3 linked regions of the Rattus norvegicus genome follow. The protein of the gene in region 1 purifies or fractionates together with the protein of each later gene. This does not show direct contact. Links are inferred from orthologs where the notes say so. Each region holds a gene or a part of one and is shown on either strand. Other genes may lie near its edges.

Evidence for each region. The genes of interacting proteins can lie anywhere in the genome.
Region 2: the proteins of Med19 (region 1) and Med12l purify together in Homo sapiens (affinity purification with mass spectrometry; 3 studies listed by BioGRID and IntAct, counting the BioPlex papers as one, with this or other methods). This does not show direct contact. The link is inferred for Rattus norvegicus from reciprocal best matches to the Homo sapiens genes MED19 and MED12L.
Region 3: the proteins of Med19 (region 1) and Polr2k purify together in Homo sapiens (affinity purification with mass spectrometry; 3 studies listed by BioGRID and IntAct, with this or other methods). This does not show direct contact. The link is inferred for Rattus norvegicus from reciprocal best matches to the Homo sapiens genes MED19 and POLR2K.

The regions. Positions count from the first base shown.
Region 1 is NC_086021.1:90,167,348-90,171,687, forward strand, and holds the start of Med19 (mediator of RNA polymerase II transcription subunit 19), read left to right. Parts: upstream 1-1,481; 5' UTR 1,482-1,525; coding exon 1,526-1,742; exon of another isoform or gene 1,743-1,931; intron 1,932-4,340. Other genes in the region: Tmx2 (thioredoxin-related transmembrane protein 2 precursor), read right to left, coding at 932-1,120. UniProt on the Homo sapiens protein: Component of the Mediator complex, a coactivator involved in the regulated transcription of nearly all RNA polymerase II-dependent genes.
Region 2 is NC_086020.1:145,401,822-145,406,119, forward strand, and holds the start of Med12l (mediator of RNA polymerase II transcription subunit 12-like protein), read left to right. Parts: upstream 1-1,496; 5' UTR 1,497-1,747; intron 1,748-2,539; 5' UTR 2,540-2,661; coding exon 2,662-2,760; intron 2,761-4,298. UniProt on the Homo sapiens protein: May be a component of the Mediator complex, a coactivator involved in the regulated transcription of nearly all RNA polymerase II-dependent genes.
Region 3 is NC_086025.1:69,240,025-69,244,034, reverse strand, and holds the start of Polr2k (DNA-directed RNA polymerases I, II, and III subunit RPABC4), read right to left. Parts: upstream 2,803-4,010; 5' UTR 2,720-2,802; intron 2,016-2,719; 5' UTR 2,007-2,015; coding exon 1,946-2,006; intron 1,609-1,945; coding exon 1,516-1,608; intron 1-1,515. UniProt on the Homo sapiens protein: DNA-dependent RNA polymerase catalyzes the transcription of DNA into RNA using the four ribonucleoside triphosphates as substrates.

The sequences.
Region 1 (4,340 bases):
TAAAGTAAGATTCCAGAGTACAGGAATAGAAATAAGTAGGGTATCTGGTGCTCTTTTGTTTTGAGTTAGGGTCTAACTATGTAGTCCTGATGGATCTAGAAAGCCCTATATAGATCAGGCTTACATCAATCTTACAGAAGTCACCTGCCTTTGTCTCTAGAGTGCTGGGTTAAAATGGTACAACCCAAAGCCCCGCAACAGTATTGTATCTTTAATGTAAACAAAGTTAATAATCTTGTTTGAGAGTCCCAGAACATGTGAGGCCTACCCAAGGTTATATTAATACCTTTAGTCCTGGTCATTGCTGTTATAGCATAAATATCTGTATATGAAAAAAAAATATTAGCTCTATGTCCACAACCTTCACGGTAAATGTTAACTGTTCTTAAATATTGCTTCTTAGATGGTTGATGGGCTTCCCCCCACCTCGTATTTTTGTAACCTTCCCTGTTTTCCTATCCCACCTCAGGAAGATAGTGCGCACAGTTGTTATGCCCAGAGCAGACGATTTTTCCACCAAAGTCATTTATTTTGTTGAGTCAGTGACCTATGTCTGCCGGTCTATCAGAGAATTGATTAAGGTTAGACAGCACTTAGTGAACGCTGTGTTACCTTGAAAAATCGCCTAACTACACTGTGATCACTTCGTTAAAAATTAGAAAAATTTAAATGGTATTTCTACCACGGGCCTAGTCTTCGTCAGTGGCGCCCCAAGGAACTTGGAATCACAGAAGAATATTGTTCATCTGTGATGGAAACCCTGGAATCTGTTTCTCCATCTTTAACACGAAGGTAAGGACTAGATAACGGCCTAGGCTCTCCACTCAAGTGTGTAAGCTACACTCGAAACCCGCCCTCCCATCTTCACATGCACCTGCAGGGCAGGGATGGATGGTCAAGGTCGACAGCTACTAAGGCAGGGGGCGCTCACCCAGTCAAAGTCACACGGGTTGCCATCTTCGCGCTGCGTGGGGAGACCGTTGCAAATCGGCGGCAGCTTCCTCACGAGGAGGAAAGCAATGGAAAGCAGGGCAGACAGAAGGCAATAAGGTCTGGCCAGCCATCGAGAAAGCCGCGGCACCGAGTACACCAAGGCAATCAGAGGCGCGAGGACAGCCATCTTCCCTGCCTACACTCTTGCAGGCTCACTCCCGCTCCCCAAATCGTCGTCCTCCGCCCCCAACAGCAAGGCTTCTATTGGGCCAAATATCAGATGCAACGCCTCCAGACCCGGATGTAGATCTCTTATTGGGTGCTATAATAGATCGGAAAATGAATTAGATAGTCTATTGGTCCTCATAATTGTCGCTTTTCTACCTGAGTCATTTTATTGGCTATTAGTCTGTGAAACACTACCTGAACAATCTCTCAGGGCAAAGGAAGTAAGTTGCCGGAAGATGGTGGGCGGAGCTTAGCGTATCCAATGATGGGAAGCTGTTAAACCAAGAGGGTGGTACCCTGTGAAAGTGCTGTCCAATGAAAGTAATTAACGCCAGATCCCGGGTAACCAAGAGCGGCGAGTGCTATGGAGAACTTCACAGCCCTGTTCGGAGCTCAAACTGACCCCCCACCGCCACCAAGCGCACTAGGGTTCGGGCCTGGAAAGCCTCCGCCGCCACCCCCTCCTCCTCCGGGAGGTGGTCCAGGCACGGCTCCACCTTCGACCGCGACCTCGGCCCCCGTGGGAGCGGATAAGTCCACGGCTGGAAGCGGTCCCTTCTACCTTATGCGGGAATTGCCAGGTGAGTAGTGGGCCAAAAGTAGCCAATCAGATAATAGTTTAGGTGACCGTTGTGGCTAGCATCCTGCAGCGCAAGGTGTAAGATAACAGGGCTACGGGTGGCCAGTGGGCAACAGTGTCAGAAGCCCTTTGGCGATTCACAACTCTAAAAGATAACTTGATTTCCCGGGGTGGGTTTGGGTTGGGTGTGAATATCTGGGACTACCTCTAGCGAGAAGTTCTGTGATCCGGGTTCTCTAACCGCTGTTTGTGACTCTATGAAAACGAGCCATTGTTTGGAACTCGGGAGACCTGATTTAACGTTTCTGGAGACAGTAAGATTTTAGTTTAAAGTCTGTCACAAACTTGTTGGTTTATAGCAAGTTGCCTTCCTCGTCAGGGACTTGGAGATTAACCCGCTCAAAGAAAGGACTAGAATTGAATCAATTCTTACATTCATAAAGTTAGTTATTCGGGAAAATTGGGGGGGGGCGTGGCTCAGTGGTAGAACTCTTGACTGCCATGCATAAGGCGCGTGTTCACAGAATCATCTCTGAGTAGGTAACATTCAAGAATAAACAAAGCCATCGGTCCTTGGACAGAGAGAAGATACTAGATAGAAGAAACTACATCAGGAGACCTGTTTTGGAGGGGAAGATGGGGGGGGGGGTGCTTAGAATATCTGAGGGGCAGAAGACACATTGAATTCAAGGAAAGGAACAATTCCAGTACTGATGGAAAATAGGTAGAGGCCTTTATAAGGCAATGTAGGTTTAAAGTTCAAGTTGAAGTCAATTTCAACATGGGGGGGGGGGGGAATGAGCTAATTTAGTGATTTTTTTTTTTAAAAAGATATTCAGCAGAAACATAAGTGAAAATGGGGTAATCAGAAATCAGTGTTCCTAAAAGAGAATGGTTTGGACCAGGACTTAGCAGTAGAGAAGCAAATGAATACAGGATACATGATAAAGGTGAAGCCTACAGAAATAAAGAACTAAATATAAACAGAGGAATTGTGGGTGTTCTGTACAAAGGTTATAGTAGTCTGAGAGTAGGAAGTTATGGAAAGAAAAAATTTGAAGAGCTAAAAATCAAGAGGTGTTCTGGATATGTTAAATCTTAGGGAACTTGTGGTACTATATACCAGCACTCAGGAGGTGAAGGCAGAAGGTTCTGGAGTTCCAGCCCAGCCTAGAGGACATGAGATCCTGCTTCAAAAAAAGAAAAATAGAAGTTCAGTTATCCCAATTAGCTATTAGCACAGTAGTTTAAAGTTCACATCAGTGAGGTGTGTACAATATGTAGCCCTTTTAGATAGATAGGTATTATATTTTATAGTTGAGGACTGAAGCATAAAGAAATAACTATATGTGCTTTAATGACAGGTGTCTTCCAGAAGTTCTCTTTTTCCTTATTTTAGTTGTTTTGCCTCACTATGTAGCCCTGGCTTGTCTCAAATTCACTGTAGACTTGGCTGGCCTTGAACTCACAGAGATCCACTTAATCTCAGCCTTCAGGTATGTGCCACCATGCCCAGCTTCTTCCAGCAGTTTATCTTTTGCATTTCCTGTTCTGATTATGCCATTTATATATAAATCAGTTGATAAATACTGAATCTCCGAGGCAAACGCTGGGTATGGTGGGATTCTGAGAAGGGGAGATTATTAAGCCGGGTTTTTACGTAGCTTACTTTTTGAGATCCATAATACATGGTTTAAGGATGGTGCTTGTATCTTTGTGGGTGTCTGTTTACTACTTTATAGTCATGCTTCACACAGGAAGCAGTGTTTAAAACTACCTGATGGTTTTCAAAATGTGTTAGCCAAAATGACAGCAATAATAAGATGTCATTTGAACTGAACTCTGAAGAATTTATATAGGCAAACAAAATTAGAAAGTTATTTTCTCAAAGGAAATAGTGGTACAGTTTTGTTGCTGTTTTCTACCCAGAGGATACGTAGATCTATCTGGATACATTAGAAATTTTGCAGGAAGATTAGTAGTTGATCAGGCTCCAAAGTTAAGTTGTAATAAAATTTGATTAGGAAGGCTAGGGATGTAGTTTAGTTGGAAGAGTACATGCTTAGCATGCATAAAGACCTCTATATTCATTCTCCATACTTGACAAACCGGGCTTGATGGTATATTTCTATAATCCCAGCCCTTGGGAGATGTACACAGGAAGATCAGGAGCCCAAGGTCATTGCTGGCTACATGAGACCTTGCCTTGAAAAGGTCCATTGGAACTGTAAAGATGACTCTAAGGTCATGCAGTTAAGGACATTTGATGTTGTCCAAAGGACCAAGCTTGGTTCCCATAATCCATATGGGAGCCTCACAATTGTATGTAACTCCAGCTCCAGGGATCCCAACACCCTCTACTGACCTCCATAGGCACTCAAATAATATGTGGCATACATCCACACAACACAACACACACACACGCGCACGCGCACACACACACACGCACACACACCAAATAGGATAAAAATAAATCTTTCAGGATAAATCAAGAGGCAGGTTGATCTCTCAGTTCAAGGCTAACTTGGTCTACCTAGTGAGTTCCAAGTCATCCAAGACTTTAGAGAGAGACTCTATATCAAAAAAAATTTAAAATTTT
Region 2 (4,298 bases), on another chromosome or scaffold:
ATATAGTACCTGTAAAGTATTACTTGGGATGACCTCCTAAGTCCATTTACCCATTCAACCATCTATTATCCATCCCGCAAATCGACAATTTTTTGAGATGTGCCAAATGCTATGCTGTGTACCTCGTGCAATAATGAAAATATTGTCCTTACTGTATCAGTGAGAACTACAGTCCACTGAGAATGGGGAAAGTATGAGGAATAAAGATGGTGAAACATCATTACAGATGATAAATACTCGGGATTTATTATATACTTTCTTCACTTTTTGGTAAGCTCAATACATTTTCTAATAAAGTTAGATATGAATAAAAACTGTATTTTCTTCCAAGCAAGATTTGGATTTGACGTATGCTATAACACAAGGCAAACTGCACCGTGAAGTTATTACATATAGCGTATTAGATGAGAAATGTTCATGGCAGGGTGGGCAGTGGAAGGAAACCAACCATCTTGGTGAAGGCAAGTATACTGTAGAAGGCCTAGCTCACACTGAGTGACGGATTTAGCCTCATAGAGCCCCATTTAGGTTTTAGGCTAGGTTGGAGATACTCGTAGTTCAGAGGGTGAGCAATGAAGAACTAGTCTTCTACAATGCCATCGTCTTATCCACTTCCTTCTTCCTTCCCTTGGGTTAGAGCCAGCAAATAGTATATCATCAACATGTACCAGGTACTATAGAAAGGCTGCAGGTAGTTCTGTGTGCATCTTCTCCAGAGCTGGGAACTAGGAGTCTAAAACATTCCTCAAGTTATGGGGAATGCGACACAATCAGGCCAAGGGCAGATCAAGCACACAGCCTTTCCCGATCAAAGCAGAAGAGTGAGGTCAGAAACCTGAGCTCCAGCAGTGGTAGGTTCAAATTCCGACTAGCTTTTGCAGCTTTGAACAAGTCATCTAAGCTCTCTGAGCTCACACAATTTCCTTCATTTATAAAGAGGTTGAAGTCAAACCTTGGAGGGTTTGTTGTTAGAAGCAAATTCAGACCCTCAAGATCATACAACCAAAGGAAGACTCCATAAATGGCAGCCATCATTCTTGGCCAAGTGCTGGCGCTTTCTCCTGGGCGCGCCTCCTGCAGGGTCCCTTAGGACACACTGGGCCCGCCTCCGAGGCTAGGTCTCAATGCTCACTGCTGGTGGCCCGGCATCTGCGTGTCTACCTGGAGAAAGCGAGGGGCGCCGGCAGGTGGATTGACCAGATTCCCCGAAAGGATCGCCCCCTCCCCGCGGTTCCCATCCCTGTGATGCGAGCAGGTGAGGTGTCGCCTAGGCTGCCGGGATGGCGACCGCAGGAGGGGTCGAGGCGGAGGGCGCAGCTCGAGGCCCGGGGTCCCTCCTGGTGCTGGTTCCACAGCCGGGTTAATCCTGCAGCCAGCTGGGGCTCAGGGCCGGTGGACTGCGCGCTCTGCGGCTGCGAAAACCCGGAGAGGCAGATGGGAGCGCTCGAGGCGCTCGCAGCCAACTCCTCCGCGGTCCGGCCGCCAAGCTGGGCATGCTCAGTGCGGCCGTCGCGCCGCCGTCCGCCAACTCGGGAGCTCGCGCTCCCGGGCCGTGGGGGCGAGAACGCCGGCGGCGGCGAGCGACGCCCCCAGGCAGCCGCAAACTTCGCGGCGTCCGCAGTCTGGAGAGCCAGACACCTCGCAACGTCAAATCCAATTCCCCAACCCTATCGGAGCGATGGAGGCTGCGGCCGCCAGGGCGTCCCGGCCGCCCGCCCCTGCCTAGCCGCTAGCTAGGGACCAACAGGTAAACTGTTGGGGGTGGGGATCGGGGCGCGCGACGTCTAGGGGTGGCCCGGGGAGCCGAGACGCCCGCGCTCCGGATGTGTCCGTCGGTGCTCGCGGCCACCTTTGCTCACCCCCTCCTCAGCCCCGAGAGGGCCAGCAAAGGGTTAAGTCGGCCCCGCGCCACAGCGAGCGCGGCCCCCTCCAGCCACCGCGGCCGCTGCAGCCGGCAGCCAGCAAAGCGCCCGGGCGCCGCCGAGGGGACCCGCGCAGCTCGTGCACTAGCTGAGCTCGGAGGAACCGGCCTCGCTCGGCGTCCGCATCCTCGCCTCTCGCGGCCTCTCTCCCTCCGCGCCCGCCGTTCTGTGTCTGGGCGGCGGGTCCACCGGGTGCAAAGCTGCGGGCGCGGGGCACGGCGAGCCAGGAAGTGGGCGCGGGCCGCTGCGCAGCGCCTCGCGGGCCCGAGGACGCTTAGCTCTCGGCGGGCACCGAGCCTCCCGCCTAGGCGCCAAGAAAAGTTTTTTCCCCCTTTATGCCCCTCCCCCACCCCAGCCTGTGTCCCCCTGGGTGGGTTTGGGTTCATTGGTGAAGAAAGTCACACGTTCCCATCAGCTGCTCCTCCCCCTAGGGACCGGGTGGGGGTGGCGGGAGGCCGGCGCCGCGGCGGACCCTGGCCGACCTCCAGCCCCGCCGCCGCCCGCGGAGCAGGCGTCCCGGGGCTCGGCGCAGCGGGGTGCCCACGAAGGCGGCCCCCCTGAGCGCGTCTGCGCGCGGGCAGCGGCCGTCTCCAACCTGCTTTTTCTCCTGCCTGCAGCGCCACGGCGAGCCAGAGTGGAGGGAAGAGGGAGTCTGTCTGCAAAGTGCTGCTCCCTGGTGCTCAGAGGCGGCTGCTCCAGCTCCAACTCTCATTCATTTCGCCGGTTAACATGAGAGATCATGGCCGCCTTCGGGCTTCTCAGCTATGAGCAGAGACCGCTGAAGCGCCCGCGGCTCGGGCCGCCCGACGTCTACCCGCAGGACCCCAAGCAGAAGGAGGTAAGGGCGCGGGCGGCCTCCGCGGTTGTGCGGCGCTCCGCAGCGCTGACCCCGGGCCAAGCTGGCCCGGCGGCCGTCCGCGGCGCTGCGGGGGAAGGGCTGCGGAGGGGATCGGAGGCGGGGCTCGGGTTGGGGTATCAGGGACCTGGGCTACTGAGACCTGGAGCCTGCCAACCCCCGCGCTCCACTGGGCGGTCGCTCTGCGGGGGGCTGGGTCGCTTCGCGGTTGTCGGGCCTTGCACTGCGCCGCTGGGCGCTTTACCGCTTCTTCCTCGCTTGCATCTTCCTTCTCGCTTTCCTTCGTTTCTGTTTGTTTTATTGTTTTTCACTCCGTCGCTTCGATAAATCCTGGTAAACTTTTTGACAAATGCTGGAATGCAGTACATCGGACACCGTGGTCTTGCGTTTTGCGCCAACGGTATAGGCACGGATGGGGGAGGGACCCTTTTCACATCCTCCAGTTTGGAATGGAAGTCGTTTTTAGCGAGGTGATCATATATTTGGCTCTGTGAATGTATCTCTGTATCTCTCCTTTTGAAAAAAAAAATTAAGAAAACAATATTGAAGAGAAACTCTGAAATTTGTTTCTAGAGAGGCAATCGGCTTTTCCGGAGGCTGTTTTATATGTGTAGAATCAAGCAAGTTACCTTAGAAAGGAATAGCTTTCAGGATCACTTATTTCTTTGAATGAAATTAATTGGGGAGACCTTGGCTGTTGCACTTACAGTGGCTTCAGTGGTTAGTGTAAGCTATGTAGGTATGTGGCAGGAGTTAACAAGTAATTATGTAACAAGTCTCCAGCCAGAATGGTGATTGCCCTTGGCTATACAATTTGCCCAGAGATTTGCCTATCTTTTCCTTTATCGGTCACCTGCTCCCCAGCTGTCCTTTTAGACGGTGCCAACTACAGCCCACCCATCTTCCCTTTTCTATAGTTAAATGTGAAACGGCTCTGTGTGCTCCTCTTTCTGTGAGCCGGAAAAGTTTGCATGTCCACTGATTTCACAAGAGAACTTTGCAAGTAAGAGTTCCTTTGGGCTTCTGTTTTGATAAATGTATCAGTCTCATTAGTAGAGGCTCAGCCCAGACTGGTTAATAATGTCTGAGAAGTCATCATGAGCAATGCCTTTTGGCCTTATCACATTGAATTTGAGGATCAGCGGGAGTAGTTAAGATTGAAGATGGCTGGAAAGTCTACAGGTGGGCAGCATTTCCTCACCCAGCTCCTAAGGTTTAGAAAGGATAGAGACTCTAAGGACCAAGTGTAAATAAAGGACGTTGATTTAAGCGTTACTGGTAGAATTCTAAGTTTTGGTAGGGATGGGGCGTTGACTTTGCTCATCTTATAATTAATGTCTCACTACGAGTTTATAGAGAGAGATGTAATGAGGCAGCTCCTTAGCTTCCGGTTGGTTGCTTGGATTAGCATGTGTGCTTGTTTAGCATTCAGTTTTACACATGACAGTCAGTTCAGGATTTGGACCCCGGAAGGAATAATTTTGGATTTTGGGTCACTTTCTAGAAACCTAAGACTGGAA
Region 3 (4,010 bases), on another chromosome or scaffold:
TAAGAGTTTGTGTCCGTTACCATGAAACAATTTGTAGGCCTCACTATTTTCCACTGTTATTAATCTCTTCTTCCGTACTTTATATTGTTCATAAACTAATAACCAACAATGACTATTACTAAAAACAAAGATTTCCTGAAAAGTAAAAAAGACTTATCAACTAGTTTTTATATTACTGAAAGCCCATAATGAATGGTACATGAAAATGCTAATCACATTTACTTTATATAAAAACCTCTGCCAGGCCTTGGGAGTACATGTCTTTAATCCCGGATTTGGGGGGTAGAGGTGGTGGGCGGGGATAGGTGGATCTCTGAGTTTGAGGCCTGTCTTAGTCAGGGTTTCTGTTCCTGCACAAACATCATGACACAAAGCAGGTTGGGGAGGAAAGAGTTTATCCAGCTTACACAGTCACATTGCTGTTTCATCACCAAAGGAAGTCAGGACTGGAACTCGAGCAGGTCAGGAAGCAGGAGCTGATGCAGAGGCCATGGAGGGATGTTACTTACTGGCTTGCCTCCCGTGGCTTGCTCAGCTGGTTTTCTTATAGAACCCCAGGACCACCAGCCCAGGGATGGCACTACCCACAATGGGCTTGGTCCTCCCTCCTTGATCACTAGTTGAGAAGATGCCTTACAGCTGGGTCTCCCGAAGGCATTTCCACAACTGAGGCTCCTTTTCTGTGATAACTCCAGCCTGTGTCAAGTTGGCCTTCAAAACTAGCCAGTATAAGGCCACAGAGGTTTAGGAAGGCCAGTGATAACCTTAATAAATGAATTAAAAATGTATTTACTGGGTTTTAAAATTTGTTTTATTCAGGTTTATTTTATGCACAAGTGCTTTTGCCTGTATGCATGTATGTACCATTTGGGTCCCGCGCACTGGTAGGTCAGAGGTCGGCCTATCCGACCACCTGTGATTGTGAGCAATCATGTTGGTTCTAAGGCCCTCTGAAAAAGCAGCAATGCTCCTGCCTGCAGATCCAGCTCTCAGGCCCCTAGTTGGTCCTTTGAGACTGGGTCTCACTAAGTAGCTTTAGCTGGCCTGGAATCCTAAGTGTAGACCAGACTGGCCTGGAATTCACAAGGAGCTGCCTGTCTCTACCCCACAAGTTTTGGGAAAAATAAATCCTATTAAAATAATTAATCTGGGTATACCTCCTGTGGAGGCTCCACTCTTTCAGTTCTCAATAAGTCCACATGCACTCTGCTTAAAAAATAATCCAAAAGTTATTACTACTTTGATCAGATCTTAGTCTTTTTTTTTTTAAAGATTTATTTATTTCATGTATGTGAGTACACTGTCACTGTCTTCAGACACACCAGAAGGAATCAAATCCCATTACTAGGTGGTTGAGCCACCATGTGGTTGCTGGGACTTGAACTCAGGACCTCTGTAAGAGTGGTCAGTGCTCTTAACCACTGAGCCATCTCTCCAGCCCCAGATCTTAGTCTTTATCAACCCAAGTATTAGTTACTTCCTCTTCACATTTAAAAAGTATACTTAAAAGGATACATCTCTTAGTCCTTTTCTTGTACATTATTCTGTATCCACATTCTCTGCATCTGATTGGATCCCTGGATTTTATTTCATTTTCGGTGTGACACTCTGGGAAAGAAAGCACATTTATTCAAAGCCTGAAAGAGAAACACTCCAGGGAAGCAAACAGTAACAACATATTAAAAACAGGAGGAAACCAGGGCACCAAAACATCCAAGTACATTCTTATTACTGAACAGACCAAGGAGAAAGAAGAGCTGTAGGCAGTACACCTTTTCCAGATAAAAGGAAGAAATCTTAATAAGGTAGAGGGATTTTAAAATTAACAATCGCTAAAGTGCTCCACGTTATAATTTTAAAGATTTGTACTCATGTATGGAAGGATTCTTTTTAATGGGAGGGGGGGGCGTTCCTAAGTAAAGCATTATTTAAATGTTAATCTTACCTCCACAAATATATATCATTGGCTGCTGCTTTGGTGGTTGAACATCTTTCTGGGTGTCCATTGTTCGTGCCTGAAATGAGAGCCAAAGACTGAGTAACAGGGCCTTCGCACAAAACATGCCCCATTTGATTTATCTTTTTCTCAGAAGCTATACGAGGTTCTGATTTTCCGACCAAAGAGGAAAACCTCAGTAGAATGTTTGCCTAGTGTGCAGAAGCCCAAGAATCAATACCCAATATTACGGATGGGGAAATTAAAAAAAAAAAAAAAGTAATTATCTACTTCCCCTAAACAGTGATGTGGGCTGGGTCTGAAGGATACAGCACATTTTCAACAATAGTAAATACATTATGAATGTTTATTACTCTTCAGGATCCTAGAGGGTATTACACACGAAGAAACGGAGGCTAAGGACATGTTGGTTTGTCCAGTATCACTCCGCAAAGGAATTCCGATTTGAGCTGGGAGCAGTAGCTCCGTCAAAGCTTGTCTCAACATTAACTCCACCGGGGATCTTTATTTTCGCATTTGGTTCTTTAAGAAGGCTTTGAGAGTCTTCACTTTGTAATTCAGGTTAGCCGAGAACTCACTTTGTAGCCTTAGATTGAAAGTCAAGGTGCTTGTTGATGGCAGAATTCTCCTACCTCTGCTTCCCAAGCGCTCAGATGGCAGGCGTGTGCTACCGCTCTCGGTCGTCCAGGGATATTTTAAAGCCAGGTGTCTCTCCTAGTTTTGCCTCCAATTTACCTCCCAAATCACCCGCCGATCCCTTACCTCCGCAGCTCCGGAAAGCGTCCCTCCTCTGTGCACGCAAACGCTTTCTCCGGCTCTTAGAAGCAAGAGACACTACCGGCGCTGCTTCGCCAACTTCCGGCGCTGACTTATGACGCAAAAGCCCTGTCCCTTTCTGCCTGGCAGTACCGAAGAACTAGGGCGCTTGTTGGGGACTGGTTTATAGTGTTTCTCTCCTTAATTCCTGTAGGATTTTGTTTTGATTTGCCCCTCTCTCCAGGGTAGCAAAACATTCCCACAGCTCGGCGTTCGAGAGTCTGTGCTTGTGTAACGGCAGATAGAGCAGGAAGCCAAAACAGGTGCTGCTGGAATCTTAACCCAGCCATTGCTTGGGCGAACACCAGCAGGCCACCCTACCAACACTTCACTTCCCAATATCACGGTTTTCAAATTGTTCAATACCCATGCAGGTTTTTGTTTGTTTGTTGTTTTCAAATTCCAGTTTTCTTAGTTTCTTGTCACCTCTCTTCTATTTTATGTTGGGGAATGGAATGATAGGGGAAGCCCGAGGCTTGATAGTCTATGTAGCCCAGGCTGAGCTTGCTCTTAAACCGGCGCAGTTCTCTACCTTCGCCGCCTCAATGCTGAAATTAATTGCGCAAATCACAACGCCTGCCCATCTTCCTTTTTGAAGCCAAGGTTTTCACAACTAAGGTTTTCACAAGGACAACTCCATCAATTACTTCCACTAGTTGGTGGCTTTAGCTTTTCTCGTAGTATTCTCCCTCTTGTGTTTGATCAATTCAATAGAGTACAGGTGGTATGTGTTCTCACAGATCAAACTTTTAACTCAGTAAAAATCTGTTGGGTTCAGGACGTTTACACTCAATTATTTCACACCATTTATTTTAAAAATAGAGTGGACAAACTAATAGAAGAAAAACTAGGGAAGCATCTGGAACACATGGGCACTGGAAAAAATTTCCTGAACAAAACACCAATGGCTTATGCTCTAAGATCAAGAATCGACAAATGGGATCTCATAAAACTGCAAAGCTTCTGTAAGGCAAAGGACACTGTGGTTAGGACAAAACGGCAACCAACAGATTGGGAAAAGATCTTTACCAATCCTACAACAGATAGAGGCCTTATATCCAAAATATACAAAGAACTCAAGAAGTTAGACTGCAGGGAAACAAATAACCCTATTTAAAAATGGGGTTCAGAGCTAAACAAAGAATTCACAGCTGAGGAATGCCGAATGGTTGAGAAACACCTAAAGAAATGTTCAACATCTTTAGTCATAAGGGAAATGCAAATCAAAACAACCCTG